Alligator mississippiensis: one gene and its partner. The protein of the gene in region 2 purifies or fractionates together with the protein of the main gene of each other region. This does not show direct contact. Links are inferred from orthologs where the notes say so. Each region holds a gene or a part of one and is shown on either strand. Other genes may lie near its edges. The genes, in order: RIC8A and GNAI3.

What was found.
Region 1: the proteins of GNAI3 (region 2) and RIC8A purify together in Homo sapiens (affinity purification with mass spectrometry; 3 studies listed by BioGRID and IntAct, counting the BioPlex papers as one, with this or other methods). This does not show direct contact. The link is inferred for Alligator mississippiensis from reciprocal best matches to the Homo sapiens genes GNAI3 and RIC8A.

What each region holds. Positions count from the first base shown.
Region 1 is NC_081825.1:179,399,883-179,415,938, forward strand, and holds the start of RIC8A (synembryn-A), read left to right. Parts: upstream 1-7,902; 5' UTR 7,903-8,170; intron 8,171-10,394; exon of another isoform or gene 10,395-10,478; intron 10,479-10,677; 5' UTR 10,678-10,777; coding exon 10,778-10,861; intron 10,862-16,056. Other genes in the region: BET1L (BET1-like protein), read right to left, coding at 2,157-2,213, 3,040-3,131, 3,836-3,983.
Region 2 is NC_081837.1:34,288,775-34,305,022, reverse strand, and holds the start of GNAI3 (guanine nucleotide-binding protein G(i) subunit alpha-3), read right to left. Parts: upstream 7,657-16,248; 5' UTR 7,569-7,656; coding exon 7,451-7,568; intron 1-7,450. UniProt on the Homo sapiens protein: Heterotrimeric guanine nucleotide-binding proteins (G proteins) function as transducers downstream of G protein-coupled receptors (GPCRs) in numerous signaling cascades.

The DNA of each region.
Region 1 (16,056 bases), on a different chromosome or scaffold from region 2:
CCCTCAGAAAAACTTTATTTTTCCCTTTTTCCCCCATCACATCATACAACATACCTCAAAAACATGCGTTAGTGCTGCATGCAACTGCTCTGCCTGTCAAAGCCAGTTATCACTGATTAATTCCATGCAAATTTACTCCAGAATAAGAGTGCCCCCACATGGAATCAGTCACAGATAGCATGTGTAAACAAGCCTTTGAGATTAGAAAAAATGAAATTCCTTCCTGTAGTGTTGTTTGCAGAATAGGTAATAATGTTGCTCAATGTTGTGTCAAGGCACTAAAATACCCTGCTCTACAAATTCTTCCCCATCCTCTTTCCTTTCCTATCTTCTCACAGCACCACCATTATCACAAATCACATTTTCCTACTCAAAACCTTTAAAAAAAATGGCTGCTGTTCACTCTAATTAGTTTCTGATGACCTCCAACCTACCCCTTTCTTAAAGTGCTTGACAGGAAGGCTACTTTCTCAAACCTCTCCCAGAACTATATCTGAAATATGCAGTCTGAGCATGGCTACAAACAAAGAATTTACTTTCTTCCAATTGTTAATAACCCTTTCCTTTCTGATGACAGCTGGTCCCCCCCCCAATTTTGAGTTCAATGAAAAGCTCGTATCACTCCTTCCTCCTGTACCACCTCCCCAGTTATGCAGGCATCTTCATAGGTCCTTCTATTTACCCAGTAGCTTTGCACCTTTGATAATGGTCTTACTTCTGCATCAAATACCCTCCTGTTGGCTGTGCTCTTTTCTTCCCCTTGCTCAGTTATCTGATTTCTACCTTTATCATTTGCTGTATTTTTTAAATGACAGTCAGATGAATACATCATTCAAGAACATTAAGGAAGTCAGAGAGTGTAAGAGACAATGTTAATCTCACAGTTTCTAGCTTAAGCTTAGGTTTACTCCAAGATATTTATCTGAAGTCCATCTCTTGAAGGGAAGTAAAAAAAATGGGTATACCGTCTTGATTTAAGACCCCTCATTTAACTTTTCTGCTGTAATCATGGTCTCTTCCTTCACCCTAACCTTCCACTCTCCTCCATTTCCAGTGAAAACAAGTATACATTAGACCTTCCACACACTGCCCGTGACATCACTGCCTGCATGCCAGCTCTGCTGAAGCCTGAATAGGTTTATCTTGCCTTGCTTTCAATATTGTGGTTATCTTCTATAGGGGTTACATGCCCTAGCTACCCAGATTCCAACCTGCAGACAACCACTTCCCAATCACTCACAGAAACAGCTTGACCACATCAATCCCAAACTCAAACATATCAAAGGAAGGGATTCCAATGCCAAATTGAATCATGAAGTTATTCTTAGTCTAGAAATTCTTGGTGGGCACATTTTAAGCTACAGACCTGGTCTTGTGGCCAAATAGCTTGCTTATTACTTTAAGTACATAAAATGCTTTGAAATTAAATTGTATCATATGAATGAAAATCATTATATTAAGCAATGGAAGAAATCTTGAGGCAAAAAAGTTTGCTTGTGTTTGCTAACGTCAAGTGTGAAGCTAGGGGATTTTCCAGCCACAAATGCATGTATTGGCTGCACAAGCCATTCCCCAAGTCCCTGGATTCTCCATCAGCAATAAAGAGTTTACGAAACATGCCAGATTTTGTCTCAAAAATCACCGTTTTTTAAATACCCGTGGTAATTAAAAATGAGAAGAAAAAGGAACAGAGTACTTGATATTATTAACACTACAAACCCTGATTCCAATTCTATACATCCAGGGCATTTCAGAGGCTGTAGAAGTACCCCCAAGAGATTTATAAACACTTCCAAAACTCCTAAACAGGAGTGACAAAGGCAGGCAGGCAGGCTTATATTATCTTCATAGGAGCCAGTTTGTAATCCTAGTAAGTAAGTAATTTCTACCTGCATTACTGAACTATACTACTCCCTATCAGTGTCAACTGTTATTAAATGCTGGCTGTATTTGCCCAACATAATATTGGGAGCTTTTAAGTTTCTGTTGGCTTATGTACTTAAAACCCCAAACAATGTTTTCATGTTACCTGACATGTGCTGGGTTGTTAAACCCAACTGCCAGAGTTTGATCACCTTTCCTTCTGAACTACAGAGCAAACTCTTTGAAGTCAGCACAAAACCATTCACATGTTAGACATCTCACCAGTGTCTTACCATGCCATCTAGATAGTGATTTTGATCTTCAGCATCTTTGTCAATATCCAGTGCCAGCTAATCAAAACACAGAAGGATGCAAGTGTTACTATCTTCAAATTAACAGATCAACTCCTAATATATCTGAAGCTGGTGAAACCCCAACCACACAAACAGGCCATTACTTCCACTGCCTCCTACACATTACACACTGCCATGTCTGTTCTATGCAATGAAAAAAAGAAGACGGGGGAGGAGGGAGATTCTGCCTACATTTTAAGATTATATAAATTCCTGCGCTTTGCAGCATTGGAAATAAAGGTCTATAGTTGGAAGCTTCTGTACATGAAATGACCATGCCTATCATGAAGCAGTAACAGAACACAGATTCTGGTTTTCTGATAATGATGTTGTCTGTGCATTACAGCCATATGTTAACTGAGGCTTTTGACATTAGTGGAAGCAAATGATTACTGTGAATACTCCTTTAATAGCCATGGATACACCACGACTATCATCACCATAAATATCATGACTCCCTCCTGAAGGAAAACTGAAAGTGTGTTTTTTATTAATATTTTTAACCTGGTTTTATAACTACTTTCTTCCACAGAAGGCACGCCTTGTCTGACATGTTTACCTGCCTTGGCCTCCCTGCCGCTTACTTTTTATATCAAATTTCTTCTCTAGCTGCCACTAAGACCAGACAATTTTGGTGATGAGAAAATTGGTAAAATTTCCCAGCTACATCATTAGAAAAGTTAACTATGCAACCCACCACAGGCTGTATCATATCCTGCATCTTCTCAAACCATGGAATAAAGAAATCACCCCTGTGTAAACCAGCTCCTTTCTCACAGTGAACACAGCAAGGAAAATGGACCACATGGAGTTAGTAACTAACCGATTTCAGCCTGGTGACTTTGGTGGCAAGATTGTCTGCCATATGTTTGTTCTCGACATCCAACATGTCATCCATGCCGTTCTGGCCCTGGCCTGAAAGAGAGAGGAGGAGTCTTATCAGTTATGACACAAACATCAGCATGTAAACTCATCACAGCTGGTAAGAGAACTGGGATTTCTGTTCGCAGCGCCACCGCCACTTTGTTGTTAGTTAGGTGACTCCGAGTACCATTTTAAGAACCGGTTTTTCCTACCCCTGAAATGTTACCCCAGATGTATGATATGTATCCGAGACACCCAACATACATGCAAACCCTGATCCTGCTTTAGCTACACAGGTGCAAAGCTTGAGAGCGCTCAGATTCAATTACTTATAGATATATTATCTGTGTATGTGTGTATACACACACATGCACACCTATACCTAGATATGCAGACACACATGTACATTTTATATATATATATATATATATACACACACACACATACACACACAGGTGCGTGTATCTGTGTATCCACATACAAACACACATATATTTGTTCTTCTTTGACACACGACCATCTACAGTGTGTACAAGACAGGTCAGCTAGTGTGCCGGAGGGGACGTAACAAGGTACCCGCATCAGCAGCTACCGACCCACTGCAGATGTATGCCCCGAGACATGGGGGTCACTGCAGGACGGGTGGGGTGGCAGGGGGCCTGCAGCTCTTACGGAGCCAGTTATCAAAGGGACAGGTTGAAAACATCTCCCGCCTAATACCTGCCCCTCCAAGCGATACAAAAACAGAGACGTACTCCTAGCACCTGGGCAGCACTGGCAGGCATGAAAGGCACCTAGCGCCAGCCTCTGACCTGCCAGCAGCCCAAGCAAGCCCCGGCCAGGCAGGTGAGCGCGGTGGGAGGGCAGGCACACAGCACACGGGGTCGGAGGAAGAGGAGGCATCCCCCCATCCCCGGGCCGGGGCTGGCAAAGCAAAACCTCCCCCAACCAAACAGCCGCATGTGCGCCCCCCCACCGCCCCAGTCACGGGCAGCCCCAGGGACACCCCCAGCATGCAACCGCACGACCCACGCCCGAGCCCCCGGCAGGGATCCGAGCTGAGCGCCCCGCGGCCCCGCTCACCGCGCCCCCACTCCGCCATGGCCGCGGCCCGTCTCCGTGGCCGGCCCCGCCCCGGCTGCTGCGGGCGGAGCCACCGCCGCTCCTTGCCCCGCCCCCGCGCCGCCTGGAGAGAGCCCGGGGCACAGGGGCCGGAGACACTGGCCTGCGGCCGGCTTCCTCCCTCCCTCCCTCCGAGCGGCAGCAGCCGGGGTCTCCAGTTGCAGCAAGGGCAGATTAAGCTGTTAGGGGGAAATAAACCCCGCTCACGCTAGGAAGGGAGCACAGTAAAGGAGCAGGTCGCCTGGCAAGGAAACGCCGTGTATCTGCGTCCAGGAAGGCAGGGTTCCTCAAGCGCTCCCGGGCAAACCTGCTCTTCTGGTGCCCGCCCCGGCGTCGGGGCTTCAAGCCCACTTGATGCAAACGGCAGCCGCTCTCTAGCTCGCTCCTGCGGCCACACGGCTGAGGCGGGGCGAAAGTCGGCGGCATCTGAACCGCTTGGGCCCGCACCTAGGACACCTGCTAAAGGATTTTGGAAACATCTGCAGCCTCTGGTGAGGTGGAGGATGTTTGCGGGCTGTAGGGCCAGTATGGTTCTGGGCTGACTCCGGGATTTGGACTTGATTTGACTGGGAACATGAAACATTTCTTTAAAAAAACAGGTCTTCCAGAGGTGGTGGCCTCTCCATCCTTGGACGTTTTTAGGACCCAGCTAGACAAAGCCTTGGCTGGGAAGATGTAGTTGGGGATGGTCCTGCTTTGAGCAGGGGTTGGACTAGATGACCTCCTGAGGTCCCTTCCAGCCCACATTTCCTAAGACACCACTCATAAAAGCCCCTCGCCTCTCTGGCAGGTTTCCTGGGACATCAGGGCTGCAGCATCCCTCCAGCACTGCCAGACACAAAGGGCACGCTTGTCCAGCCGCAGTTTGACTTCCTTTTTTCTCCCCTCTATAGCAGTGACTCTCAGGCGGGGCCATGGCACCCGAGATCCTTTTTAACCGTGCCACACAATACGATGCACAGGGTAGACCCAGCGACTTCAAAGAGGAATACATAGCAGCAAGAGCCATCACACCTGCTGTGAGAGGCAGGAATTCTTGTGGGCGATTCTTTTATCGGGCCATCTGTGCGCGGTTGGGATAGACTAGTGCTTCTCAACCTTTTTAGGTTTGAGGCACCCCTCCATAGTCTCAAGGCAGTCTCCATAGGGACTGGAATTAGAATTATTGGACTGGACAAATTCTTGGGGAAAAAGGGCATCAGTATCTATTGAGCACAGGAGTTAAGGGTCCAGCCTCTGAATTCAAAGTTCCTGGACCTTAAATGCTAGAGGTTGCAAGTGATGGAAGAAAGTGAATAAAAACCAACCCTGGTCTTGTCTTGTTTACTCTCCCTTTCAGTATCCATTTTCTGCCGCTGTGTGACACAGGCCTATTTGACACATAGGGTTAACGTGCACTTTACCACAAAGCAATAGTTACTCTCCCCGCATAAGCCGCGGAACAGGGTGGGGCACCCAGGCCATGGCCTGACCAACATTTAGCACGTTAACTTAACTAGCTATGCAGTTAAAAAAATAGCTATACAGTTTTAACCGGAATGGCAATTGCGCATTTGTGGGTTATATAAATTGATGTGCTACAAGTTGGTCAGGCTGTGGCCCAGGTGGCCCACCTCGTTCTGCAGGCTATGCCCCCTGTTATTAGAGGGGGCAATTGGGTATATGTCAGTTGATTTCAGGGGACAACTAAAGACAAAACAGGACTGGGAGTGAGGTCAGAGGTTCAAAATGAGTACACCAAGGAGGGGGACACTGAGCAGAGTACACTGGACAGTGCCCACTGAATAAGTCCAGGGAGCTAGTGGACACTGCCAAGTGAAACTTTGTCTGGAGACATGAATGGACCAGGCACAGGAAAATGGCCCTGCAGTCCCCGGGGGGCCCCCAGCCAGAGCCTCTGTGTGACAGGCCTATTTGACACATGTTGGGAACATGGCCCTTATGCCCACAGATCAACAATTACCTCCCCTTAATAATAGAGGGAGCTATTGGGTATGCATCAGCTGAATTCATGGGACAAAAAAAAATACAAAACAAGGACAGGAGTGAAGGTCACAGGTTCAAAACGAGTGCACCAAGGGGGACAGGCTGAGCAGAGTATGCGGGACAGTGCCCACTGGCCCTCAAGTCCAAGGAGGCAGTGGACACTGCCCAGTGAAACTCTGCCCAGAGACATGAACAGACCAGGGACAGGAAAGTGGCCCCACAGTCCCCAGGGGCTGCCCAGCCAGAGTCTCTGTGTGATACAGGCCTATTTAACACCTATTGGGGACATGGGCCTTAGGTTCACATGTGTCAACTGATTACTTGAGAAAACAAAAGAAGCAGGGACAGAGTAAAGGTCATAGGTTCAAAACAAATGCACCAAGGGTAGACATCATGCAGAGCACACGGGACAGTGCCCACTGGTCCCCAGTCAAGTCCAAGGAGCCAGTGAACACCTCCCAGTGAAACTCTGCCTGGAGATGTGGATGGTCTCCCTGGCCAGAGCCTCTGTGTGATAAAGGATCCCCGGCCAAGATGGACCTATAGTCTGATACAGTCAATGGCAATTCTTATGTTCTTACAGGCTGGAGGCAGCCCATCAGGAAAGGCCAGCTCTTATTTTTCACTCATGTTTAGACTACAGAAAAAAAGTAGAGCAATTCTGTTGCAAAGAACTTATGCAGGCCATTCCAGGTCTGAATGCTTTTAACACCATGGATTCCTTTCCTGACATCTCTGGGTTTATTTTGTGAATCCCATTAGCACACTCAACAGGGACAACATTGTGTGGCACCCCTGAAAGGACCTCAAGGCATCCCTGGGTGCCATGGCATCTTGGTTGAAAATCATGGGTGTAAACACCCAAACTTCTGGCTATCCTAGGACCCTATCTCAGGCCTGTGGCCTTGCTGCGTTCTTTGCAGCAGCAGAACGGCTTGATTCTTTTTTTCTGTAGCAGAAACACGAGTGATAATGAAAAGCTGGCATTTTCCAAGGGTTGCCTTGAGTCTCATGAGGGTGCCTTGAGTCTGAAACAAGGTTGAGAACCACTATTGTAGGGATTCCTAAAAAATGAGGGTTGGAAAGGACCTCAAGAGGTCATTTAGTTCAGTGGTTCTCAACTTTTTTTTGTACCAGGACCCATTTGTAAACATTGATGGCCAGTCTGGATTCACTCCGGACCCGCTGCCCCCAGGCCCTAGCCCCTCAGAGTGTGAGGCAGTGGAGGCCCCAAGCAGCCCCTGGCAGGCTGGAGCTCTGCCAGCCTGCAAGGGAAAAACCCTGGTTTCCCATGTTTTTTTCCTATAAGGAAGAATCCATTTTTAAAGTTTCTTGATCCATTTTCCAAGTTGGTTTGTGCCCCTTTCATATATTCTTGTGACCCACGGGTTGAGGAATGCTGATCTAGTCCAGCCCCCTGCTCAGACCAGGACCAGCCCCAACTACATCATCCCAGCAAGTCTTTGTCCAGCTGAGTTTTAAAAACCTCCAAGGATGAAGAGTCTGCCACCTCTCTGGGTGACCTGTTCCAGTGTTTTATTATCCTCCTCAGGAGAAAGCTTTTCCTAATATCAAACCTGAACTTCCCTTGCTGCAACTTGAGCACATTGCTCCTTGTCCTGTCATCTGCCACCACTGAGACCAGCCCTCCCCTGGCAGGCAGCAGGATCCGCCCCTTGCATTTTGCACAGTGCTCATGTTTTTTTTATATTCCTCTTGCTCATAGTGCGGGGCGGGAAACAGCCTCAACCCCTGACAAGGCTCCTGATTGCTTGTATGGTTGGCAGGCTGGTGGGTGATCTCTGCCCTGTCCCACAACCCCAAGCCTCCAGGTAAAGCAGCTCTTCCCTTTGCCTGGGTCTCCACCCAGCTTCCAGCCACCCCTCCCTGCCTCCTCTGGCTGAGAGCTGGGGAGGGCTAGGGGCAGCAGCAGTGTCCAGGAAATGAAGCAGGAAACCTGAGCCAGCGCAGCTAAAGAGAAGGTAACTCGCTCATCTTTTCTCCCTCGGATGGCTCATGGCAGTCAGACATCTCTGTCCCCTTGGCCCCTTAAAATCCCAGCAGAGGTGGCCTTAAAATCCAGCAGTTTGTTGCAGCCTCTGCCACACTTCCATGTAGATTCTCTCTGCAGGGTCCCTGCTTGCCTGAAATCGTCTCCATTTTGTCCCTTTTTTCAAGCGATCAGCAAGGACTTGCTTCACAGGAAAATAGAAAGCCACATCTCTATAATTATTCACTAATGCTGTGATCCCACAAAGGCTTCCGCAGAGGAGCTTTGCCACCAGGAGTATTTTCAGTTCCTCTTAATGGGATTGCTCCCAGATGTAAAGCTAAGCACATGAGTGAATCTCAGTAGGATGCTGGTCAAAAGGAGGAGCAGGAAACCAAGCCTCCTCCTGTTTTCTTAGGGGACTAAAGGTGACAAATAGGTCTGTTTTCTTAGGGGTTTGAACCCTGAGGAAAGAATGGCAATAAAGAGGAGGAGGGGACCTTAAACAAGCAGAATAAAAATTGCAAAGATTGAGGTCAGTGGTTATTATAGTCCATCTCCTGCATTGTTATGTGATGCTGGACTGGGCAACATGCTGGAGAGTACTGTGTTAGGGATAAATCCTGCACTGGTCCTAAAGGAAGGAGCTGTCTGTTCCATCTTTAATGTCTATGCCGCTATGAAATCTCTCTTAGTTCATTGTGTGCATATGTGGACGTTGTATTCCTGTTTTTCTTCCCAAATAATTCTATATGGAGCAATGAGATGTCAGAGTGGGCGCATCTATAGGTGCACTTTAATGTGTAGTAGCCTATTTTACTGCGTATTAAAGCATCTCATAAAAACCATGCTAATATGCGAATGCGTTGTAAAAATAGGCTAGTGTGCTTTAAGCTTCGCTAAAAAAGCATGCACTTTCACTACTCCATATTAGGGTAGCCTAATGCTCATTTATTTAGGATCTCAAATTCAAGGTACCAAATTTAATGTGCGTCAGGAAAAGTGCATTAATGGACGTGTAGACATACTCAGTGTGCATTAAACTGACACTCTGACTTTAACTGTGATAACTTTGTAGCGATGGCACAAACCATATGGCAGAGGTTCTCAAACTGTCGTCTGCGGACCACCACTGGTCTGCAAGCTCCATTCAGGTGGTCCACAGATAGGTTGCAGAACAATCAAAAATATCTGTAGTTGGCCCTGCATTTGATTTATTTTTTCTGACGATGGAGATTAAGTGGTCCGCTGAGACCCTCAGCAATTTTCAAGTGGTCTGCGAAAAAAAAAGTTTGAGAACCGCTGCTTTGTGGTGTCTTAACCCGTGTCTACATTGCGCGTTGTGGCAATGTAGACACATTTGAGTTGGTTTTAATCTAGCTAGCTTGGAGAATGAGAGCAGTGAAGTCACTGGCACAGGTGTCAACCACTGATTACCCAAGGCTCTGGGTGGGTTTATATGGACCAAAATGACACTTGCGCTCTTGCAACATTGCTGCTGTCAGTACCTATGCTATCTAGATCAAAGCCAGTCTGGGTATTTCTGTGCATGTTGCAGTCAGTCATGACTTTCTGTGGCAGTGTAGATATAGATGTAGATGTTTGATTCTGTAGTAAGCAGCTCCCTTTGGAGTCTAGGATTGGGGCTTTGTGTCATTTTACACTACCCGTCTTCAGTACTATTGCAAAATTTGTCACACAGCTATAGAATCTTAAATCTTTGTGCTTTCACAAGTGTGTGGAATCATACTGTGATTTATGATGTGACCCCTTATTATTATTTAAAGTCACAGTTTCAGCACTGTAAGCCTATGTGGTGCTTTATAGACACTTTAAACTCATGCCTAGCCTTTAAACATAAATGTGTGTCTAGTGGTTTATAACAGATCACTTGGCTTTTGAGATGGTGTAAACCTATTTCCTCCTGTATCATGAAGACACACACTTGTGTAGTCTGTTCAGCATGTCCTCCAACTTCCCTAATTACATAGCCCTTTGCAGGCCCCAAATGCACCAGGCTGGGTTTCTTTTTGAAGAAACTGCTGAGGAACTCTTTCATGCCACCTTTAAAAGACTGCTCCACCTTAACCCAGTCGGGATGGAGCTTGTCTGTCTATGTTGCTCTCTTGTGAGCCCCTGTTATTCCCCAGGGATGTTTCTGTGTGTCTGTGTGTGTTGGGGGGGGGGGTGATTTCCTCTGTGCACTATGAGAAATCAGGACAGTCGGTGGTGGAGGAGGAGAAGGAGGGCTATTTCAGGGAGCTGCAGTTATCTGTTCTGTGTTAATCCTCAGGCTGGGGGTGAGGGAGGTTTCCTAAGTGATTTAGTGGGAGGGCATATATTAAACACTGAAAGGCAGAGAGAAGGAAGAGGATTAAAGGGAGGGGGAGAGGGAGAGAAAGAGGAAGCTTGTGGCTGGTTTTACTGGGGATGTTCATCTGCTTTGCTTTTTAGGTATAACAGAGTAAGCAATCGCACTTGTTTTTTTCTCCCCCCCAGCTGTCTGTGTGGCAGGGTCCCCCTGCATCTGTAATTATCCAGCAACATAGCAAAGCCCCTCCCCATCTCGCCTCACATCTGTATCTAAGCTGCTGGAGCAATGGAGCTCAGGACTATGGTAGCGACTGTGGAAAGCAGGGAGCAAGACACAGTCCTCAAGGTGCTGCAGATCTACAATCAGGAGGTGAGTGAGTATGGCAAGCTGCTGCTTGATGTTGCCTTTCCCTATTTATAAGCAGGTTGGTAAGAGGATCCATGTTCTGGGATCTCTGTCAGGCACAAGGCAGGGTAGATCTGTACCTTATAGACTAAATCAGAGGTGCATACACTCTCAGCTCTGTGTTATCCAGCTTCTATCTGCCTCATCTACTTGCATTTGTCTGTATTGCTTGTCTGCTTGATCTTTCCTTTTTCTTTCCTGCAGATCTTGCAAGTAAGGTTTAATAATGAGCATCTAGTAAACATCTCTTTCCTGCTTTCCTTGTGTACTGGAAGCAAAGCCTCTGTAAGGGATTTTCACATCTAGGGTCCATGCTAGAAAACTGAGTGTCAGTGTGGGAGCTGAATAATGAAGGAAGGTTTGAAGGCCTGAGGAGGAGTGATGGATGAAGTTGAGTGGTTATGGCTTTCAATTAATGAGCAAAAACCCCATGGGGATTTTCCAAATATGCATGTTCTGAAAGGTGATCATAGGACAAATTGAAAATAGGATGCAAAAGGAGCAAACTTAGGAATGAGAGATTTCCACTGCTGGGCTAAAAACAGTTCAAAATATTTCATGAGTATACTGTCACCTTCTTAAAAAAAACCATGTATAGTTGTGCTGGGATGGATAATCTATACAAGTGCAGTGAAACTTGCTTCAAGGAAGTTACACCAGAGAGACATTTGGCCCTGCAGAAATACATGACTCATTCTGCACCACTCCTAAGTAGGTGGAAAATGAGCAGAGAAAGCTGCAAATATTATTGCAAAAGTGTCATTTTCCAGGGAAAAATGTGGGTACCACATCTGTTCCAGTCAAGCAGTTCTACATGGGTAGAAATCTCACCTAGGAAACAGTAGGTCCTCTTAAAGAATGACTTAACAGCAGCAATAGCAGAAACCCTGGCAGACAAAACATGAAGGAAAGTAGGAGAACAAAGTGGAAATTTGAAGAGCAGATAGAAATATATAAAAAAAGCCACCAAGACATTCTTGGTAGGTATGTCAACCATAAGAAACCTGTTAGAATATTAGGGAGAAAATGGAATGATTGGTGAGGATAAGATATTGCAGAACAGTGAAACAATTTCTTTCTATTGGTCTTTACCATAGCAATTGATGGTGAGAAACATGCTCCAGACCTATTATTTTCAGGTAACAAACAGGCATTTTTAACATGGAAGGAACTTAATGTTAAGATACCCGAGGAATCCATAACAGCACTGTTGGAGTTTCATATTTTTCAAAGTATCTGGAGAAGGCATAATTTGTAGATGACACAAAATCATTTGAGGAAGTCAAGACTGCCAAAGATCATCAGGACTTCTTGAAGGACCTACCAAAACGCATGCTCCAAAGCTCTTTGAAATCCGTAGAAAGACTATCATCAACTTCACTGAGCACAGGATCAGACTTAAAGCTAGGCAATAAAGTAATATGGAAGCCAAAAATTTCATTGTAGTCTGGTACAAGAATATGTATGTTGGAAAGAACAAGTTGAACTATTTAGACCTTGATAATATGTTCTAAATGAACTGTCATCAGGTGGTGGGGAAGGGGAATCCCTATGCAGTATTTATGAGCAGCTCAAAAAAGCTTTGATGAAACAGCATTGGTCAAAAATGATGGAAGGAAGTACAAAGGATAATAATTTATGGCCTTTTTATGCAGAAGGGGAGAGTAAATTATTGTAATAGTTATGTTTGGACTTAATTTCTTGGCTCATTGATTCATACATTTTAAAGGAGAACACATTTGAAACATTTTAGAAGGAAGTATGCATAATGAACCCGTGGAACTCATTGCCATAAGATAGCATTGAGACAAGGTGGCTGAGTAGAATTAAAAAAGGATTAGACATTTGCATGCATGATAATGAGTTTTATTAGGTAGGCTAAAATATTGAAATCCACATTGAAAACTTGAAATCCTCATCCTTTGGAGCATAAATCAATTTACTAACTGCCTGGGCTTGGGAAGAAAACCCCCACCATGGGCATGAATGTAAAATGGACAATTATACATCATCCTTGGAAGCTTCTGCAGTGGACCACTGTTGGAAGCAGGCTGCCTGAGTAAATGGATCACTGGTCTGATGTAGTAGGGCAACAGTGGTGGGGACTGAGGGAAGGCTCATTGTATCCTTTACCCCTTGGACACTTACAGGTAGTGCAGCCACAGTTTGGCACTGTGGTTTGTTTTCAATTACCTGTGCAGGTGTTACTGCAACCCACACCTGTGTTAGTAATCTAGGATAGTAAGTCCTGGGACCTAAGTGTTCGGTGAATAGAGTAGATACAGATTTCTAGGTCATCCTTTTGAAGATGCCTCTTCTTGAGATGTGGAAATTGTTTCATTCTTTTGAAAAAAAGGATCAGATTAGAAATGTTGTGCTTTGGATGCAGGTGCATGATTCCTATCATCTATCTACTGCAGTGAGTAGTGGGGTGAATCCTGTGATCCCTCCTCCATTTTCAGTCATTCCTGACTCAGATAATGCTGCCACTGATTTCAGAAGGTCTCTGAAAAATGGCTAAGCAAAATCTGAATTGAGGACCTTGGAATTTGGGTCTATATATTTGAGTGACTATGTGAAATGTGCTAAAGAGAAGATGAAAACATTTCTTTTTATGCTTTCCACCCAAAGCTCATTATGAAAGTGAGAGTGAGTTATTTGGTTCATGCTGATTGTAGCTGTGCAATTAAAATGATCGTTGTCACAAAATAAGGCAGTAAATATACACTGCAAGCTGCTATGCAGTGAGAATGTATTTGCATATGCTGATCAGTTGTTTAAAGAACATGTGGTGAATAACTGACATACTGTCAGATATGCTTAGGAGGACCCTAGACAGATTAGTGACAGGCTGGACTGAAAGAGTAGATAGTGAGCACTAACTGTATGAAAAATATATAGATTTGGGCCATAACTGGGCACAGATAGGTTGGACAACATAGCTGGATTATCATGAATAACTACTTCATGGCTAGTTTGTTATAGTTTTAAAAAATAAGTTAGCTGGCTAAAGAGCTGTAGCTAGGAATGTGTCACATATCAGTAGCCGGCTAAAATGACTTGCCCAGAGTTTGAAAACTAAATCTATATACATATGAGTATCACAAGCAAAAGGAGCAAATCTAAGGATAATATCCAAGGAATATTACTTGTTATTTATGCATCACTGTAACTTTATGTGGCCCTTTTGTAAGTGAAAGGCTCATTCTGAGCCCTACAGTATTCTCATTGCAATAGTCAGTGCCAAACAAGGGAGTGACGTGTCTAGTATCCTGTTCTGATGCCTTTGACTCCACAGCCTGAATAACCAGATATCTAGTTACAGCTGGGTCAACTGAGGGCAGCCTTCAGTAAAGCTTGAATTTGTGCTTTGGTAGCTGTGGTGGGATATCATTTTTGCTCTGCCATTCCACCCCGGCTCATGGTCCTTTACAGACCAGTGAAAGATGTGAGTCCAGATTCTTGGCCATTTCTTCATCCATTTTGTACTTTGTAGTCTTTGAATGGAGTCTTTGACCAGCAGGGATGACTCTAAGCCATCATCTGCTCCTGGTCCAACAAAACTTGGGGGGGAGAGGGAAGTCTGTCTGAAATTTTAGACTGATGGAACAGCCCCATAAGCAGCTCTGGCGCTGTGCTAGCTTTGTGTTGCATACCAAAGCAGTCCTCTGCGGTCTCCAGGGGCAGGGCATGAGATGGAAATCTACCAGTCAACCCCTTTCTCAGCACAACTAAGGATCCATCCCAGTGTCCGAGCCTGACAAGGTTTAAAAATAAACACAGATGAATGGCTTGTTGTGCACTTTATGGATATGTGAACTTGAAAGAACGAAATAGAATTTCTTGATTTTTTTTTTTTTTTTAATTTATTTATTTTTGCTTTGAGTACCATAGCAGATCTGACCAGAGACCTGGAAATGGGAATATATCAAAGGGAAAAAGTACTTACAGGGTAATGGTATTCCGGTACTTAGAAGGTTGTTGTAAAAGTGATGGTGATCAATTTCTGCATAAGAGAGATAGTGATCAATTTCTGCATCAATTTTTGCTTAATTTGCAGCAAAGATGATTTAGGTCGGATATTAGGAAAAAAAATCTGCTTGAGTGATGAAACACTGGAAAGGGTTCTTTGGGCAAGTTATGGGGATCCCTTTTACTGGAGGTTTTCAGGAACAGATTAGATAAATATCTTTTAGGGGTGATCTAGATATACTCGGTCATGTCTCAGACCAACAGATGGATTAGATGGTCTCTTACAGTCCCTTCCAGGCCTGCATTTCTAGGCTTCTCTTAAAGCAACCATGCATATAATTCAAGTTAGCTGTGTAAATAATGTTAAACAGATTGTGTTGGAAGACAAAGACATGTGGAAGAAAGAGGAAATCAGTTAAACCTGACTAAGTCTCAAAACAATGGAAGAGAAGAAAAACTTGAAGTGATAAAAAGGGACTGGAAGAGTTTTGTGAGCCTGCTACTCTGCTAACAGTGAAGACTGTGATTTCTGCTCAGAGAAAGTACAAAGTAAACTAAGGTAAGGAGGGAAAGATACACAAGAGAGAAAATGTAAGTCAAGGAAGGGTTGAAAGATCATAGAATGAAATGAACTGATTTGATAGTGCCTACTGTACTAAGTGAGTGAAATGCCCCCCAGTGACGCTGTACAAACTGCAGGCCTGGTATATCAATGAAATGCTGATGTTTTGTTGCAAACGTAGTACTTAATGCTTCTGCATGTGGTCTCCTGCAGAAGTGTGAGCGTGAACGAGTTAACTGAGCATTAAAATGTTCTGAAAAGAAGAAGCTGAATAAATCACAAAAGTTTTCAAAGCAATAAAAGAAAATAGGTAGATAAAAGAAACAATGGGGAACTTGACAGCGAGGTACCTAATGCCTCTTCTCTGTATATTCTGTCAGGACTTTAATGATGGAGGATGCCAGACATGCCAGATGTAATAACAAGCTAGATCCATGCAGAGAACAGTTAATCAGGAAGTGGAATGTTTGAAGACTAAGCAGATCCCAGGGTGCAGTTAGGGTCAATATTTGAATGAAGAAGCAAGTGAGGTGTAGGATGTTAGCTTTTTTCTGCTCAAGAAAGCTTATGATGTAAAAGCATACCTTAGTAGCTATATTAAGGGATCCAGAGCAGATGGAGGAAA
Region 2 (16,248 bases):
CTGGAAACCAGGTTAGAGCAGTTATCCCAAGACTCTTACTCTAACAGTTAAAATTTGAAGTATAGAAGAATGAAGGACTTGCAGGGGTGTAGGATCAGTGACCCAGGAGCTCCCTTCAGCAGCTGACAGAGGTTATAACAGAGGGACAAATCTAGGTCCCAGCTACACCACAAATTTCCAGCCATACTCAAATGGGAGTAAGGGACAACTGTGTTGCAACTAATTCAAATGTTACAGCTGCAGAATAGACAGCGTGCACAAGCTAATGTTTCTCCATTGTTATCTTGCCAGAGATTAGAGGATCTTATTCTATTCTAAGATCTCCATTACAACAAAATTGCTTTAAGAATCACTTTTATTCTGCGTCACCTGATAGTGTCTGTGAAAACAAGATACTTAGCTTACCTGGAAAGGTGGCTGCATTAGAAAATGCTAAAATATATGCAATACTATTCAATGGCAGCAGCAGTTTGTGCAGGTTTAGGAACAAGTGACATCACTTTAGTCACAAGTGCTTAAAGAATTTTAACCTACAGCAAAACAATGAAATCAATTAGAAGATAAAGCTTGATGCATCTCAGAACAATTGAGAGTTACTACAGGGCACATGAATTGACAAGCTGGACACAAATGCACCTATTCATGGCACACAAAAACCTCAAATGCAAAGAATGGCCTTTCCAAGTATTTCAGACTGTTGAGAGCCTTATTATTTAAAATGTGTGGGATTCAAGATTCTGGCTACCCCTACTATTTGCCCTCTTTCCAGCCATCAGTGGCCACTAGACAGAAGGCCCCCCAATGCAAGTATCAGAGGTGTTCATCTCCACCAGGGATTCAGACCATCACAGCTACCCCCCACAGCAGTCTACCCTGTCACCCATGCTCATGAGCCAAGATACTCAGCCAGATAGCTTCAATTCCTCTCTGAAGAGAAACATTAGATTTTAACTACAGCAAAAGCATTACAATATCAGGATAGAGATCACTTCTCTGCATCACAAAATATGCATATTACAGCCAGCTCAGCACATTTGTTATGTAGCTGTTTGTGCAGCATTTTGTACAGCAGTCTTAGGAGTATTTCAAACCAATTAAAACCAGTGTTACTCAACAACCAGCACCAGCCATTTTTGGTACAAGTTACACAACACACACACACACACACACACACACACACACACACACACACACACACACACAGATCTTTTGGTAAAAGATCAAACTAACACATCTCTCTGTTCAACTGCTTTAGTGTTCCTCTCTCACCTCTACACATGGATATCAAGTCCTATGTGAAGTGGGACAATGACATTGCCTATTCTTGACTCAAATGTTTACCTCCTCATATGATGGAGGTCTTCTTAGGGCTATCCTTTCATAAGAGCTATTTTGCTTTTTAATTACATATAAAGATCCAAGCTGGAAATTACTTTAGACATGAACATCTGAACCCCTGCATATGTCTAATCACAAACATGGACCTCAGACAGCCAGGTCTAGTAAAGTAGTATCTCATGAACTTTCCAGACTGATAGTACTTACTTGAAGATGTTAACCTCCCTGCATTGGCTATAAAAACTACAGCCACCCTACATTTTGCACATATTACAAAAGGTGACAGAATCTTTTACCCCAGATGTGAGAGAAAGGAAGTAATTTTTGTAACAATATTTCCAATGCCTTTTAACCCCGTTACCTTTTTGAGGGTTACATAAGGGTTGAGATACAACAGTTGAGAAAGTGAAATAAGGATATGCACATCTGGTTTCTAACTGCTGCTAATTTCAGTTCTGAAATAGCAAAAGCAGTCATGCTTATTAATGAAGCAGGACAGCGCAGAAATGTCCCCACCATCCTTATGAACTGCAGCATAACAAGTTGCTGCATACATGAATAAACAAGTACCCAACACATGGATTTTCACAATCATTTACTTTTATGTTCTATATGTACTTTTGATCTAAAAATGTTTCTACATTAACAGGGTTTGGCAGGTGATTACCCAAAAAATTAAAATAAGCAACCACCAAATGAAAGGGACTGACTTCGGTACACATTTCTCTCACTGGAACAGAGAGCCTGTTTTGATGCTCTTCCTCAAAGAGAATGAGGATTTGGGCACAAGAGGACTCTGGAAGGGTGGAGATAGAATACAGATTCTCAGACAGATCACTCTATGAGAAGGAAAAAAAAATGTATCTGTCCACAGCCTTCAGTCTGAAACAATAGTTCTGCTCAGGGTGGCATACAGCTTGGTAGTATTCTTCAGGACTGGCTAAATCACTGTAGATCCAAAATCCCGAATATAACAAAAGATTGTTTTGAAGGGAAAAAACCCCCACCTTGGTTGGCCGAGTCTTTTTTTTTTTTTTGGGGGGGGGGGTGGGGGGGGGGGGGGGAAGGCAAATAAAAAAGCAGAGGAGGTTACATGGAGACTATTTGCTAGAGATTCACCCAAGTCACTCAATGAAGTTTTGGAGGCAATTCAGACCCATCACCTTCCTGGCTGGTGAAAACCTGGGCAAAAATTAGTCACATGATGAAGCCTGTTTGCATCTCATTTGAAGACCAGGTGCCCTTAAGGAACCACTTCAAGTCTCTCTCAAGAAACCACCACCTCTTGACATTGACAAGGCAATCCATTATCAACTATTTCAAATCTGCTTTTGAGGAAGTGTTCATCAGATATGGCTGACACAAGATAACTCTTGCAATATCAGAATTGCTACCTACCTTTAAGGACCCCTTCCACAAACTGGGTTGAGATTTAGATACAGTTCAAAAAACACACTTCTATGAACCTACTTTGGTGCACTGTAATCTACGCTGACTGCTCATTTGTCGGAAATATGGATTCTGTCCCAGGAAAATCTACATAGAGATGCTGACCCCAGATCAGTTGTCACACCAAAACATCTGCTTTGTGTACACAAAAAAGACAAGACTAGTGGCAGGGTATTTCCCCCACACGTGGTCTTCAACTTTGGAATTTGGTCAGAAACACCAAAACCTTGTTTAAATTTCAGAGCACTAACTGACACTTCTCAGGCTTTGCCAAGAAGCAAAAAATGGCAAGAGGAATCTTTAGAGAGCGTGGCACCATTCCTTCCAATATGCTTGTTTGGTTGATTGGCTATGTGACGTGTCTTAGGATAGACTTACCATTATAATTATTTTCTACAAACTACATTTTTCTATTATGTTCAAGTGCCCATCCAAGTACTAGGGGGTTTTAAGTCAAAACCTGTAATTTCAACAGGTTAATATGCATTTTAAGCACAAATATTGGATGCGCCTGCATGACTCAAGTCCTAAAGATGCCGTTTTTCAACACTAAGTTCCATGGGCAACTGGTGCACACCCCACCCCCAGTTGGGGGGGGCAGCCTAGAGTGGCATGAGGGAGGCAGGGAACAGTCCCCCAGCAGCCAGCCGGCAACCAGAGGAGCCAATTTTTAATTTTTATTTGGGGGGGGGGGGGGGGGAACGGGCACAGGCACAAGCACTCCCCATGCCCCTCTACCAACCAGAGTGCTCACTGTCAGAGCGGGCACCAGCGCTCTCGTGGTCGGGGGGGGGGAACGACTCCCCTATTCATCACTTATGTTGCATACAGAGGAATAACATTGACTGGATTCAACAATGGAACTGCCTTCTACACTAAAGGATGTATTTTTGCCACCAATGATTCAACATGAGCTTTTTTTTTTTTTTTCCTTAAGGCAGCAAGGTATTGCACACTAAACACTTTGAAAATTATTGTGCAATGGACTATAGGGCAGCACAAACTGCCCAGGAAGAAATGCCCCAATTTCTATGCTCTCCCATATCATGCAGCTCATCATAACAGGAAAAACCCAGAGTCAGCTAAATCGCACGTCTGTTCCTGCCAAGCAGAGTTTTCCTGGAGGCAATGGAAACAAACTATAACAAAAGGAGGAGTGTTGTGCAAATCAAGAGCTCTGGAGTTCCTCTCTTGTGCGTAGATTTACCATGGCTTCCTCCCCACCCCCCTACCCGAGTCACATTTGTTGTTGGAAACAGGTCAACAATTTCTATCCTGGTGATGAAGACTGGTCTACCCGATCAGTTAAATTATCTACAAAACTGGTTCAAAAGGACCTGTTAACAAGAGTCTACTATATTACATAATTGCCTTCCATCTTACAAGGGCTTGTATGACCTTGGGCAAACCCCAGACTTCAGCTTATGTAGCTTGACAATGGGTGTAACCATTTCCCAACAGACAATGTTGTGAAACTTAAATATAACTGGTAATGCGAGAGCCTCACATAAAAGGAACCACAGAAATAAACATTATATTGTTTTACACCAGTGATCACAAAATAGTCATGAAATGGCTTGGAGAACATGATAAATTGACCAAGCACCCATACTCCTCTGCTGCTTCTGGGGTGTTCTGAATAAGGGCAAAGATAAAGAAACAGAAAGAAAAGTAGAAACCCAAAGAAGCAGTAAATACTGTACCAGAAACTGGCTGTACAGTGGGGGGGGGGGGGGGGGAGAAGATTGGGGGTTTTTTTCAATACTGGAGTCTTTTTTTTTTTTTTTTTTTTGAAAGGAGGCAGGGAAAGTGAATGCAGCTTACACAGCTGTATCTTGTAGCAATTTAGCTTTGTCATCATGCTGGAAGATTCTGTTAAGGAATTGGTTCTCAGCTTTTTTAGGCTCAAGACACCTCCTTGGAAAATGTCAGCTCTTGGTTTTCTGTAGTCAAATTGAGTGAAAACTAATAGAGCCATTCTGTTGCAAAGAACTCAGAAAGACCTCAACAAGTCCAAATGCTTTTAACACCACAGATTCCTATTTGAAATCTCTAGGTTTCACCTTGCAAATCATGTTTGCATGCCTAACTGAATTAACACTGTTTGGCACCCTGCAGCACCCTGGAAAGGATATTAAGGCACCCTACCTGCTGTAACACCCTGGTTGAGAATCACTGTTAATACTGTGCTTGGGAAGAACAAGTAGACTTTGTGCAAATGCAAGCATGCTCTCCCAAACCACAAAAATTCTGCAGAGAAATACTAAAGGAGGCCAGTGTTTTACCAGAGTCAGAAGGTGAGATGGCTCCCTGTGTTCTGTGTCTCAGCCATCACTTCACAATACATGGAAACTGTGTTCTGAAAATAGACTACAGCTTCTCAAGCTTTTTTTTTTATTCCCCCCCACCCCAAGCAAAATACTTCCCCCCCTCCCAGACTTCACTGCAACAGTTTATATAAATAGCCTCAAAGATCTCTTACAGGTAAATTAAATAAAATACTCCCCCTCTCCCCAATCTAGACATTGTACTATTTTTTTAAATGAAAACACTAGGTTTCAAACTATTTAAAATTTACATTTTCCTTCAGCTTTCTGAAATGTTAACCAAATGACTGAGGCCTGAGTACGTACATTTAATCTTAGCAACCGATTGCTTTGCTTTACCCATACATAAACTAGCCCAGATTTTATATACAAAGAACATGTGTTTATAGGATTCCCTTTCGTAACTGGTAATGCTCAAGGCACCACTAAGCTTGCTTCTGAAACCTCAAGGGGGGGGATATAGAAGAACTAGAAGAGGTATAGAGAAGAAAAACAAAGATTATCAGGGGTATGGAAGGGCTTCCATAAGAAGAGAAACTAAATAGGCTAAAACTTTTCAGCTTAGAACAGAGACATTTATTTCAAGGAAGACATGACAAGTCTACAAAACATTAAGTGGTGCAGACATAGTAAATAGGGATTTCGTATTTAATATTCCTGACAATACTAGAACCAGGGGACAGAAAATGAAGTTACTGGGTTGCAGGCTCAAAATTAACAAGAGGAGGCTCTTTTTCACACCGTGAGCAATCAGCCTGTGGAATTCACTGCCAGGAGACATTGCAGAGACTGGTAGCTTACCCCAGATAGAAAGGAGAAACCTCATCCACATTAAGGTGCTACAGAATTAAAGCACAACTATTCCTGAGTAAATCCACATGTGAACACTTAACCCAGAATGAGAGTAACTATATTTGGAGATATTCCAGAGCAGCTATTCATTTTTCCTTTAGAAGTGTCTCTGGAAAGCAGCTATTTAACTGCCATCCAAACCCATGGAAATTCGGTGCCATTTGTGGATCCACCCTGCTACCGACTTAATTGGTTGCGCAGCATTTTCTCTATAATTACACAGGCCCTGCCATGGACTAGGATGACCAGTGAAATATATAGTGCTATCCAAAGCTGTCCTGGGGGGTTGGCAAAACAGGGCAACCGTCCTGGGCAAGTCACATCTGGTGCTATCAACGGTAAACTCCTTTGAGAGAGGCATTTATGGCTGACTGTATTCTACATCCATGGCACACAGGAAAACCTGACATCAGGGATTCTCAAAGTCAGGGTGCCGTGTGATCCTCTGAAGGGTAATGCAAGGGGTGAGGAGAGCAGCAGAGAAGCAGACCCAGGCTGGCTGACCCCCCACCCCCATGGCCCAGGCTCTCTGCAAGGGGGTAAGCACTGTAAACACACAATAGTTTTTAAAATGAGGCACTACTCAATTTACAGGAGTTATGAAAGAGCCCTCGAGTTCAGCGAGGCTGAGAACTACAAGTCAATTTAGACAAACTTGCTACAAACACCGTAACCCCATCAAGCCACCCTCCTCTGCGGGATTTGCAAGTCCCGAGGGAACAAAACCCCTCAGGGGCTGTGAGACTCGCAACCAATTAGCAAGCAGTGTTATCTGCACAAACACGAAGGACCACAGCTCTCAGGGCACCGCTCGCTCACAGCACCGGCTGGCCAAAAACAAGATCAATAGTGCAGGTCCTTCGTAGGAGGACTCTTACCGCCGTCTCTTGAGGAAACCAAGAGTTCAGCAAAGGGATGGATGCAAGGCAGGCTCCTGCCCGTCCCCAACAAAAAATGACAAACTTGAAAAAAAAGCAGCTGATGACAGAAGGGACTCGCGCTAACCCCCTGCTTTCCACGCGGGTCACTGCTGGAAAACCACCTCCCACACCGCTTTTAAATCATCCCCCCAAAAGTAGTGCCTCCGATACATCTCCGGGGGGGGGCCGTGACATGACAGGCGTCACCAGGCTTCCCCCCACAGCTAAACCGCCCCCTCCATCGCCATCCCCCAGCTCCGCGCACAGAACACGTCTCCACCGGGGCAGTTGCCAGCCGGGCTCGCCCGCGTCCTGCCCCCCCCCGTGTCAGCCACTTCTGCTCATGACTCAATTCCTGCCACATCCCCCCCGGCCCTGGCACCAAGTCACCCCAAATCTGGCAGAGAGGGAGGGAGGGAGGGGGGAGCTCCCCTGCTGCCAGATGTCTGGACCTGTGAGGAGCTCGGGGCGGGGGGGGGTCGTGGACCAGCCTGAGGACGGGACAGGACGGGACGGGACGGGACGGGACAGGACGGGCCCGCCGCCATTTCGCGGGTGCCTCACCGAGCAGCAGCAGCTTCACCTCCTTGGCCGCCTTCTCGCCGTCCTCGCGCAGGTTGCGGTCGATCATCTTGCTGCGCTCCACCGCCGCCTTGTCCTCGGCGCTCAGCGTGCAGCCCATGGCGGCGGCGGCGGCGGCGGCGGCTCTGCCTCTCCTCAGCCCGGCGGCCCGAGCTGCTGCGGGCGGGGCGGGGCGGGGCGGGGCGGCCGGATATCCGCTCCGCCGCCGCCTGACGTCAACCGGCGCTGCTGCCGCGGCCTCTGCCCGCGCACCGCATGCTGGGAAAAACACTCGCCCCCACCGCGACCTATCGGGAAATAGAGTCCCGAGCCGTGGCCGCCCACACGCTGCATGCTGGGAAATGGAGGCGTGCGCCCTGCATGTCGGGAAATGGAGTCTTGTGCCAAGCTTTGCCATTCAACGTATGCGCAGGTGGGGACTGGCTCCCTTCTGCCTCCCCCCTGAGCAGGGGGCCCACGTGCTTCTCCCACCCCCCTGCTGGCCCATGGGCACAGTCACACCTTCCCTGCAAGTGGGTGCAGGAAACAATTTCTGGCCCATTCAGGCACCTCCGTCCTGCGGGGTGGGGTGGCCTGGGGAGACTGGACAGGGTTAGAGCCCTGCAGCTTGAGCCAGCAGAAAACCACCCTCCGCCGCAGCCATGAGGGACCCCCGGGGACCAGTGGGCCTGTCCCGCGTACACCTGCAAGAGTGCAGGGCAAGAGGCAGGTCTCTGGCGTGCACAGGCACACCTCATTCGTTCACAACAGCCATGGCACCGACGCAGTCGAACGCCAGGCAGCCTGCCTGCAAATCCTTAGCTTCATCGTGCAAGGGAAGGGTGATAGCTGCTTTGCTGACGCTAAGGCCAGCATGGGCCATACCTTCACCGCAGAGTAAGGCTTGGAGCCTTAAGTGATCCCACAGCATAGGGGTCAGCCTGTAGCACAGGCAACCTGTGTGTGGGGCATGTGGCAGACTGGGAAGCTCAGTGGTAGAGCAGGGAGCAGAGCAGCAGATCAGGGAGTGCAGGGATGGAAGCAGAAAGTGGAGCAGCACACCAAGCAGGGGAAGGACAAGGGATGACACTTGGGAGGGTGTGGGGCTAATTTCTGGCACACCTGCCAAAAAGTTTGCCTCCCCACCTCCCCTGCCGTAGCACGTCACACCAGCACTGCTGACCCCGGCCGCCCTGCTTGCCTAGTCCTTGCTCTTCATGCTTTAGCACTGGTGCGCTAGACCCAGCCTCTCAGCAGCACAGAGCTTGATGGTGCATTAGCTGGGGCCCAGGCCTCATGTTTGTCAGCCTGTCAAACTAATCCAGCTTGCCCAAGTAGAGTGTCCCAGGGGTCGGTCCTGGGGCTGTTTTTGTTCAGTGTCTTCATCAAGGACCTGGAAGATGGCATAGAGTGCACCCTCCGCAAGTTTGCAGATGACACCAAGCTGGCGGGAATAGTAGATATGCTGGGGGATAGGGATAGGATTCGGAGTGACCTAGACCAATTGGAGGCTTGGGCCAAAAGAAATCTCATGAGGTTCAACAAGGACAAGTGCAAAATCCTGCATTTAGGACAGAAAAATCCCATGTACAGCACAGGCTGGGGCTGACTGGCTGGGCAGCAACTCTGCAAAAAAGGACCCGGGGGTTACAGTGGACAATTAGCTGAATATGAGCAAGCAATGTGTCCTTGTTGCCAAGAAGGCCAACAGCATCCTGGGCTGCATTGGTAGGTGTGTTGCCAGCAGGTAAAGGGAAGTGATTATTCACCTGTATTCAGCACTGGTGAGGCCACACCTGTGGACAAGTTGGAGAGAGTGCAGCGAAGGGCAACAAAAATGGCTCGGGAGCTGGGGCACATGACTTATAAGGAGTGGCTGAGGGAACTGGGCTTATTTAGTCTAGGGAAGAGAAGATGAGAGGGGATTTAACTACCTGATTCGAAGGAGGATTCAAAAGAGGATGGAGCTGGACTGTTCTCAATGGCAGCAGATGACAGAACAAGGAGTAATGGCCTCAAGTTGCAGCAAGAGAGGTTTAAATTAGATATCAGGAAGAATTTTATTACTAGGAGGGTAGTAAAACACTGGTACAGGTACCCAGAGAGGTGATGGAAGCTCCATCCTTGGAGGTTTTTAAGACCTGGCTAGACAAAACTTTGTCTGGGATGATCTAGATGGGGCTGATCCTGCCTTTAGCAGGGGGTTGGACTAGATGTGACCTCCTGAGGTCCCTTCCAGCCCTCATTTTCTATGATTCTAGCGCTGGCAGACACCTGCTGTGCAGCACAGAGGGTACAATGTGCGACTGCGTCAGAAGACTCATCTTCTCTTTCCTAGAAGACTGCAGAGGGGTCCAGTACCAGACAGGAACCCTTCCATCTGCAAGAGATTTTTGTCCTGAGTCTGGTGCTAGTAAAAGCCCCAGGCTGACATTGCCAGTGCTAAGAGCCTGAATCCTGTGTGAGATCAGGTACTGCTAGGGTTGTAACATGGCAAGCCTTGTTGCCATGTTGCAACACGGCGGGCCCTTCTCCCCAAGTCCACTGCAGCCCCAACTGGATGAACACTGGTGTTGCTCAGTTTCTGCTGGCTCACACGCAACAGTACTGAGCAAGTAACATGCAGTGGCAACATCACACTCTGTTGTCTTTGGTAACTGGAAGAAAAATGGGCCTGTGGAAAGCAGATCTGTCACCCCTGAGCCCTGGGCTGGGGCCACAAAGTGTTCAGTGCTGAGGTTACCTGCCCTGGGGCCACTCAGTGTCTCCTGTCCTGACTGCGCATCTGGGGAAGAGTCCAAACCAGGGGGAACCAACCTGCAATACACCAAATACACTTTACATGGGACAATGCACTAAGCTACAGCAACTAAGCCACAGCTACAGGTGGAAATGCAGTTAGGAATTCTGCAAGCAAAAGGTCTTCCTTGCCCATTGCAAAATGCCCAAGCCATGCTTTCCTCAAGTATGAACCTTGATGCCCTGACTAACTGCTAGTGTTGTATGCCTTTCCCTAGAGATCTAGGATCTTGTAGCCTACAATGCTTTCAAGCCATCCCTCCCCACGTCCTGGTAGATAACTATGCTCAATTCCACATTAGCAACTGGAATACAGCCCCTTTCTTTTATTCAGAAAGAGGTGGCTGGTTCTGGTGGCTATTCCCAGAACAGCCCCCACACAGGAAATATTGTGGCTGTCACCATCCTTCCCCAATCTGTTCATCAAACAAGAAATGTATTGCCATAAAGAGCCTTCTACCTCCCTCTGCTGCTAAATATTCTCCATGACACCTGGAGCCAGAAGGAAATTCCATGATGGGCTCCTTGGATTCCATAGATTCCTGCTAAACAAGACAAAAGAGAAAGAAATCTGGAGCTATCCCAGCAATGGCTGGACTAGAAGGTGCCTGAAAAGGAGACTACTGGCTAGAGACACCCAAGCTTGGCCAGGGTGAGTAAGTTCTCCCATTGCTGGGATCAATACAGAGGCTTCGAGCAGCAAGGAAGATTTACAATGAGATGGAAACTCACAGAGAAGAGACCAGGCAAGGAGGTTGTGCTAAATGGATAAGAGCTACAGAGGAGAAGACTTGCACACCAGCAATCCTGGTGGGGCACTGAAAAGATCTTGAAGCCCAAAAGGGCCATGCAACACTTGTAAAGAGGGAAGAGCTGTATGCTGACACCCCCACCACTGCTTTGGTCAGCTTATTTAGGAGGCAGGGGAGGGATGTGTGCATCCGGGTGCATTTACAGCATTTCCAGATGCTTTCCTCCAGCCCTGATTGTTTTAATCAGGATGGAGCTCATCAGAAGCAGAGTCTTTCCTAGGAATGATGCCAGGCATGAAAACCCTCATCCCCAAACCCTTTACAAACACTTCCACATCAATTCAGCCACCAGTATGATGCAGTCACTTCTGCAGAGAAGAACTGGTGAGCTGCCCAATGATTAAGGACAGCTGCATCTGTATCCAACTGAAACTGCAAGGTAGGGGAACAGGGAGGGGTAAGTAAACTGCTGGTACTTGACCAGGTGAAATGTAAGCAGGACCCCAGGGACATTGGTTCAGTTCTGAGTCAGAGAAACAGGATCACCTCCAGGTCTGACTTATCCTAGCAGTCTCCCATGCTGCTACTGAGTCCACAGCACCTGTTAGCTGATGCCACCAGAGCTCAAGACATGAGCTGTGCTTGCTACACCCTTCTAGGAAGGCAGTCCCCACACACTGGGCATGGTGGGGAGAGTGCAGGACAACAGAAAGGCCAGGACATGGGAGAGGGAAAAGGAACAGCAACATTGCTTAGAAGCTGAAACGGCAAATGTAGGAACACTTCATGCCTGAAGTGAAATGAAGGGCACTTCATGCCCCCTTATCTAACATCTCTCCCAGCTCTATGCCTGGCCCCAAGAAAGAAATCACCAAAAAAAGCCCTTGCTCCTGCAACGTTCCTGGCACTGCTGTGCTCGTAGTGCCACCTGCCGACTGTGCCCTGGAACTGCAGGTAGAAAAGATGCTCAATCAGGGTGCCAGGGCACCCTGGGGTGCCACCAGATCCTTTGAAGGGTGCCACAGGGTGTGGAGAGATAAGCAGACATCCGTGGGCTCAAGCTTGTCCCTGCCTGGCTTCTCTCTCATCATCACTGCCCAGCCCATCTGCAAGGAGGTCAGCATGGTAGTTTTTTTTAGTTAGTTCAAAAGTTTTTTAGTTAGTTCAAAAGTTAGTTTTGAAATGAGGTGCTATTCAACTCACCAAAGTTATGGGGAGAGCCTCGAGTCCAGTGAGAGGTGCCAACATGGTTGAGAACCACTGATATTGAGTTTAAAAGCAGAGGTCTCCCCCCTTGGAAATCAGCCCCTGCTCTCTTGCTCATGGGACAAGGATATCACTAGGACACAAACAGGAAAGAGTGAACAGTAGTCTCTAACTAGAGAAGGGCCTGTTGGCTAGGAGTGCATTTTCAGGTAGGTGCTAGGGGAAGATGTCAGCCTGCATAGACAGAGCAGGGGAACAGCCCCTTGGGAAAAGAGGACCAGAGCCAGGACAAGCTAGGACAGACTGGCACAGTTTGGATGGGAGGGGAGTTCTGGGTGGCTCAGGGGATGACCAGTGAGCTGTGCAGCTGGCTCATATCCAGACTGGGCTGGCAATGACAATCTGACAATAGTAGGCTATTTGAAATGCACAGGTTGGACACCGTGGCTGCGCCTACACGAGACGCTTACTGCGCAGTAGCTCATTAGTACTGTACAGGAGCGTCGCAGGGCATGAACTGTGATGCGATGCTACTGTGACACGATGCTACTGTGCAGTCAGGATCGCCGTGAAGCCATGTGGGGATGCTACTGCACAGTAATGCTGGTTACTGCACAGTCATTCAGTACTCAGGTATGCAAGTACTAAATGACTGCGCAGTAACCATCTCATGTAGATGCAGCCAGTTTGCTCCAGTTGCCATCTGCTGGCAATCTCAGCTCAGAGAGGTCATCACCAGCTGAACTCCCCTCTCACACAAGGAGGAGGCCCTTACCAGAGAAGTGGAGTGGAATGAAAAGGGACTTCCAGAGCCCTAGCAGTGGTTCCCCAATCCAGCATGATGTTGACAAGACCCTCCCACAGCCACGGGGAAGGAGGAAGAAGGACCAAAGAAACCCTGCGGTCCTGAAAGGAGTGGCTCCTTCCTGGTTCCAGGCCACTGTCCTTCACAGCATCTCCCTTGAGATGGGTCCCTGTTACCCAGGTGAGGATGACTCACCACTCAGATGGCACAACACACGCTCTTTCCCCAGCTCTCGTGATCGACGGCAGCCCACACCCAGGGGATGAAGGAAGTGGTCTTCAGAGAAGGCTATTTTTGGAGTCCCTCCTCACAAAGGGATGAGTGATCATCAAGCAAGCACACACCCAGGGGGCTTAAACGGTTCCAGTGTCTGTGAGCGTGAAAGGTCAGCGCAGATGGATCTGCCAGGGATGTGAGGGGGAAGCAGAGGGGGAGAAAAGGCCATGCAGCAGGGACTGGGAGCCGGTCTGTGATCACAAGCACAGATGCGTGCAGTCATGGGCTGGTGCACACGCAGTCCAAGGCCAGACCTCGTGCTGTGTGGGGACAGGGGTAGATCCAGTGGGGCTGTGTAGACCCCCACACCCACCTGTGTGTGAGGGACCACTGCGGGGGGCACGGAGAGTGCAGGAAGGGGGAACCCACCCACCACTGCTGTCCCTAGCACCCTGTGCATATGCTCCCTGCAGGACCAGCCCTTGGGCTCCCTCCATTCCCAGATCATCTGAGGATAGTGGCAGCAGTGGATGGATCCCCCCTTGTGCTTGCTCCCTGCCTGCTGAGCTGCTTGTGGGCTGTCCCCAAGGGTGTATGAGTTGTCACACGGCATCCAAAACTCCTGAGGAAGAGGCACTATCTTTTATTAGACCAACTAGATAGCTGCAAAATAATATGCACTATCTGCACAGATCCAAGGCCTGTTTCTTATGGGACCTCAAAGCACTTTGTGTTTGTTAGCACCTGCATTGTTGAATTACACACTGCTGTGGTGTGGGGGTTGAATTACACATTGCTTGGGCAACATACTTAAATACAACTGTCCCCATTTTATGGAGGCGAAGAGGGGACAGGCCATGCCTGGGGCACAAAGTGAATTGGTAGCAGAGTTTGGGAGTAGAATCAAGGAGTTCTGACCCCTTCACACACCCCTGCTGTAACCACTGGACCAGTGTTTCTCAGCTTTTTAGACTCAAGGCACTCCTTGTTAGGCTCAGAGCAGCCCGGGGAAAATGCCGGTTCTTAGTCTTCACTCAGTTTTTGACTATGGAAAAATAATGTGGCAATTTTTCTATTGCAAAGAACTGAGAAAGGGCACAGCAGGTCGGAAGGTTTTTAACGCTGTGGATTCTCATTTGAAATCAGTGGGTTTATCTTGTGCGTCACGTTTACACACCTACTAGGGCTAACATTGAATGACACCCCATGGCTCCCTTGAAAAGCTCTCAAGGCACCCAGGTTGAGAATCGCTGCACTAGACCACAATGCCTTCCTTCATGGTTCACTTCTATTCTTGTCACTGGCTTCTTCCACTGGCCTTCTGACACCAAACTTCTCTGCACTTTCTTCTGCCCTCGATCATTTCAGCTTGTCTATATGGGAGAAACCTGAGAGCCTGGAATAAAATGTGCTGTTACTGTCTCCCACTCCAGAGAGGGTACAAGTCAGAGCACAGTGCCTTATGCTAGCCCTTTGCCTTGCAGGCGCTGCTGGTTGAGTCAGGACACTTGAGTGAGTGCTATACTCCAAAGCTTTGCCACTGACTTGTTGTATGACCTTAGCCAAGTCACTCCTCTTTCTGTGCCTTTAGTCTTCCTGCTGTCATGAGGTAGGGAAGGGGGGTGTTTCTAGCATTTCCTTGCTTTTATGATGCCCTTTGAGATCTATGGATAAAAATCAAAGATCCGCCAAACCCAATCAGCCCTTTGGGCTAGTGTGGCTGAGGCATAACCATCTCCATAGACAATGGTACACAGGGGAGCACCGTGGCCAGCAGCACCCCCAGCTACCTTAAACCTGCCAGTCTGAATGACCGAGTGTTCATTTACCTTTGGAATGAATCCAGCGTGCAACTCAAAGACCTGCTTCTGGAGTCCAAGCACGATGCCCCGACTATCTGCCACCACAATGTAGCATGCTTCATCCCTCAAAGTTTAGGCCACTAGTTCTGGGAACCTAAGCCAAAGTGACGTGCCCATTGAGAGGCTCTGTGGCAGGGCTGGAGTGGAGCCCAACTCTCCAGACCTGGACCCTGAAGCCCATGCTGCACCTGCTGGACAGTGCTCCTTCCAAAGATCTGCAGAGAAAAATGCTGCAAGGTAACATGGGGAGCAGATACACTGGATTCTCCTAATGCCAGATCTACCAGGTGACTCCTAGCCCCATCTTCAAACCAGCCTGACCAGCAGCCCCATCAAGGCTGGCCAGGATTCTTGTCCAGCCTATTCAGGGGTTTATGATCAGATGCCCAACCCCTGTCCGGTCCCTCACAGACAGGGAGGCACATTTCATAATAAATAGTTTTATTTGTTGCTCCAGGATGAAACCGTCCGACATAAAAATGTCCTCACATCCTACCCCTCAGGAAGCAGTGATGGAGGTCAGACAGGGCTGCTGGGGCATGTCCCAGCCAGCCAACTCAGGACCCAGGGTCGGAGTGCAGAGGGGGCTGTGCAGCCTGAGGCTCACAGCCAGACTCAGCCCTGACAGGCTCTGAAGGCAGGACCCCCAGGATTAAGATTAGTGCATCATCAAATCCCAAAGGAGGGCTGGTCTCTTCTCCCTGTGATTCCCTGCCCTCCTGCCCAGCAGAGAAGGGGGCACTGGCCACAAGAGGCCGCTCCCTAGCTCTGCTGCAATCAGTGGTGGTTTGTAAGGCCATTGATTCCAGCAGGCTGAGGACTGCCGGCTGATCCCTGTTGCAGAGCTCTTTGCCCGCTGGCTGAGATGAATGCCAGAAGGGAAAGCAGAGGAGAATCCAAACCAGCGTGGTCCCCCTCCCCACCACCCAATATCCCAACTACTCAGGTCCTGCTAGACCCCAACTACTGCTGTCTCACTAGGGTCTGTCCAGCAGGCCAGGACCACAACCATTTATTCCAGCATGGGGCCTGGTTGGAAAGATGCAGCTGGACCCCTCGTGCCTGTAGTGGCAGCTGTGCAATGGGCAAAAGCGTAGGTTCAGCCCAGCTCTAATCCGACCTCGCTATGAGGAGGCATCGGCACTTCCAGAGTCTCCCCCA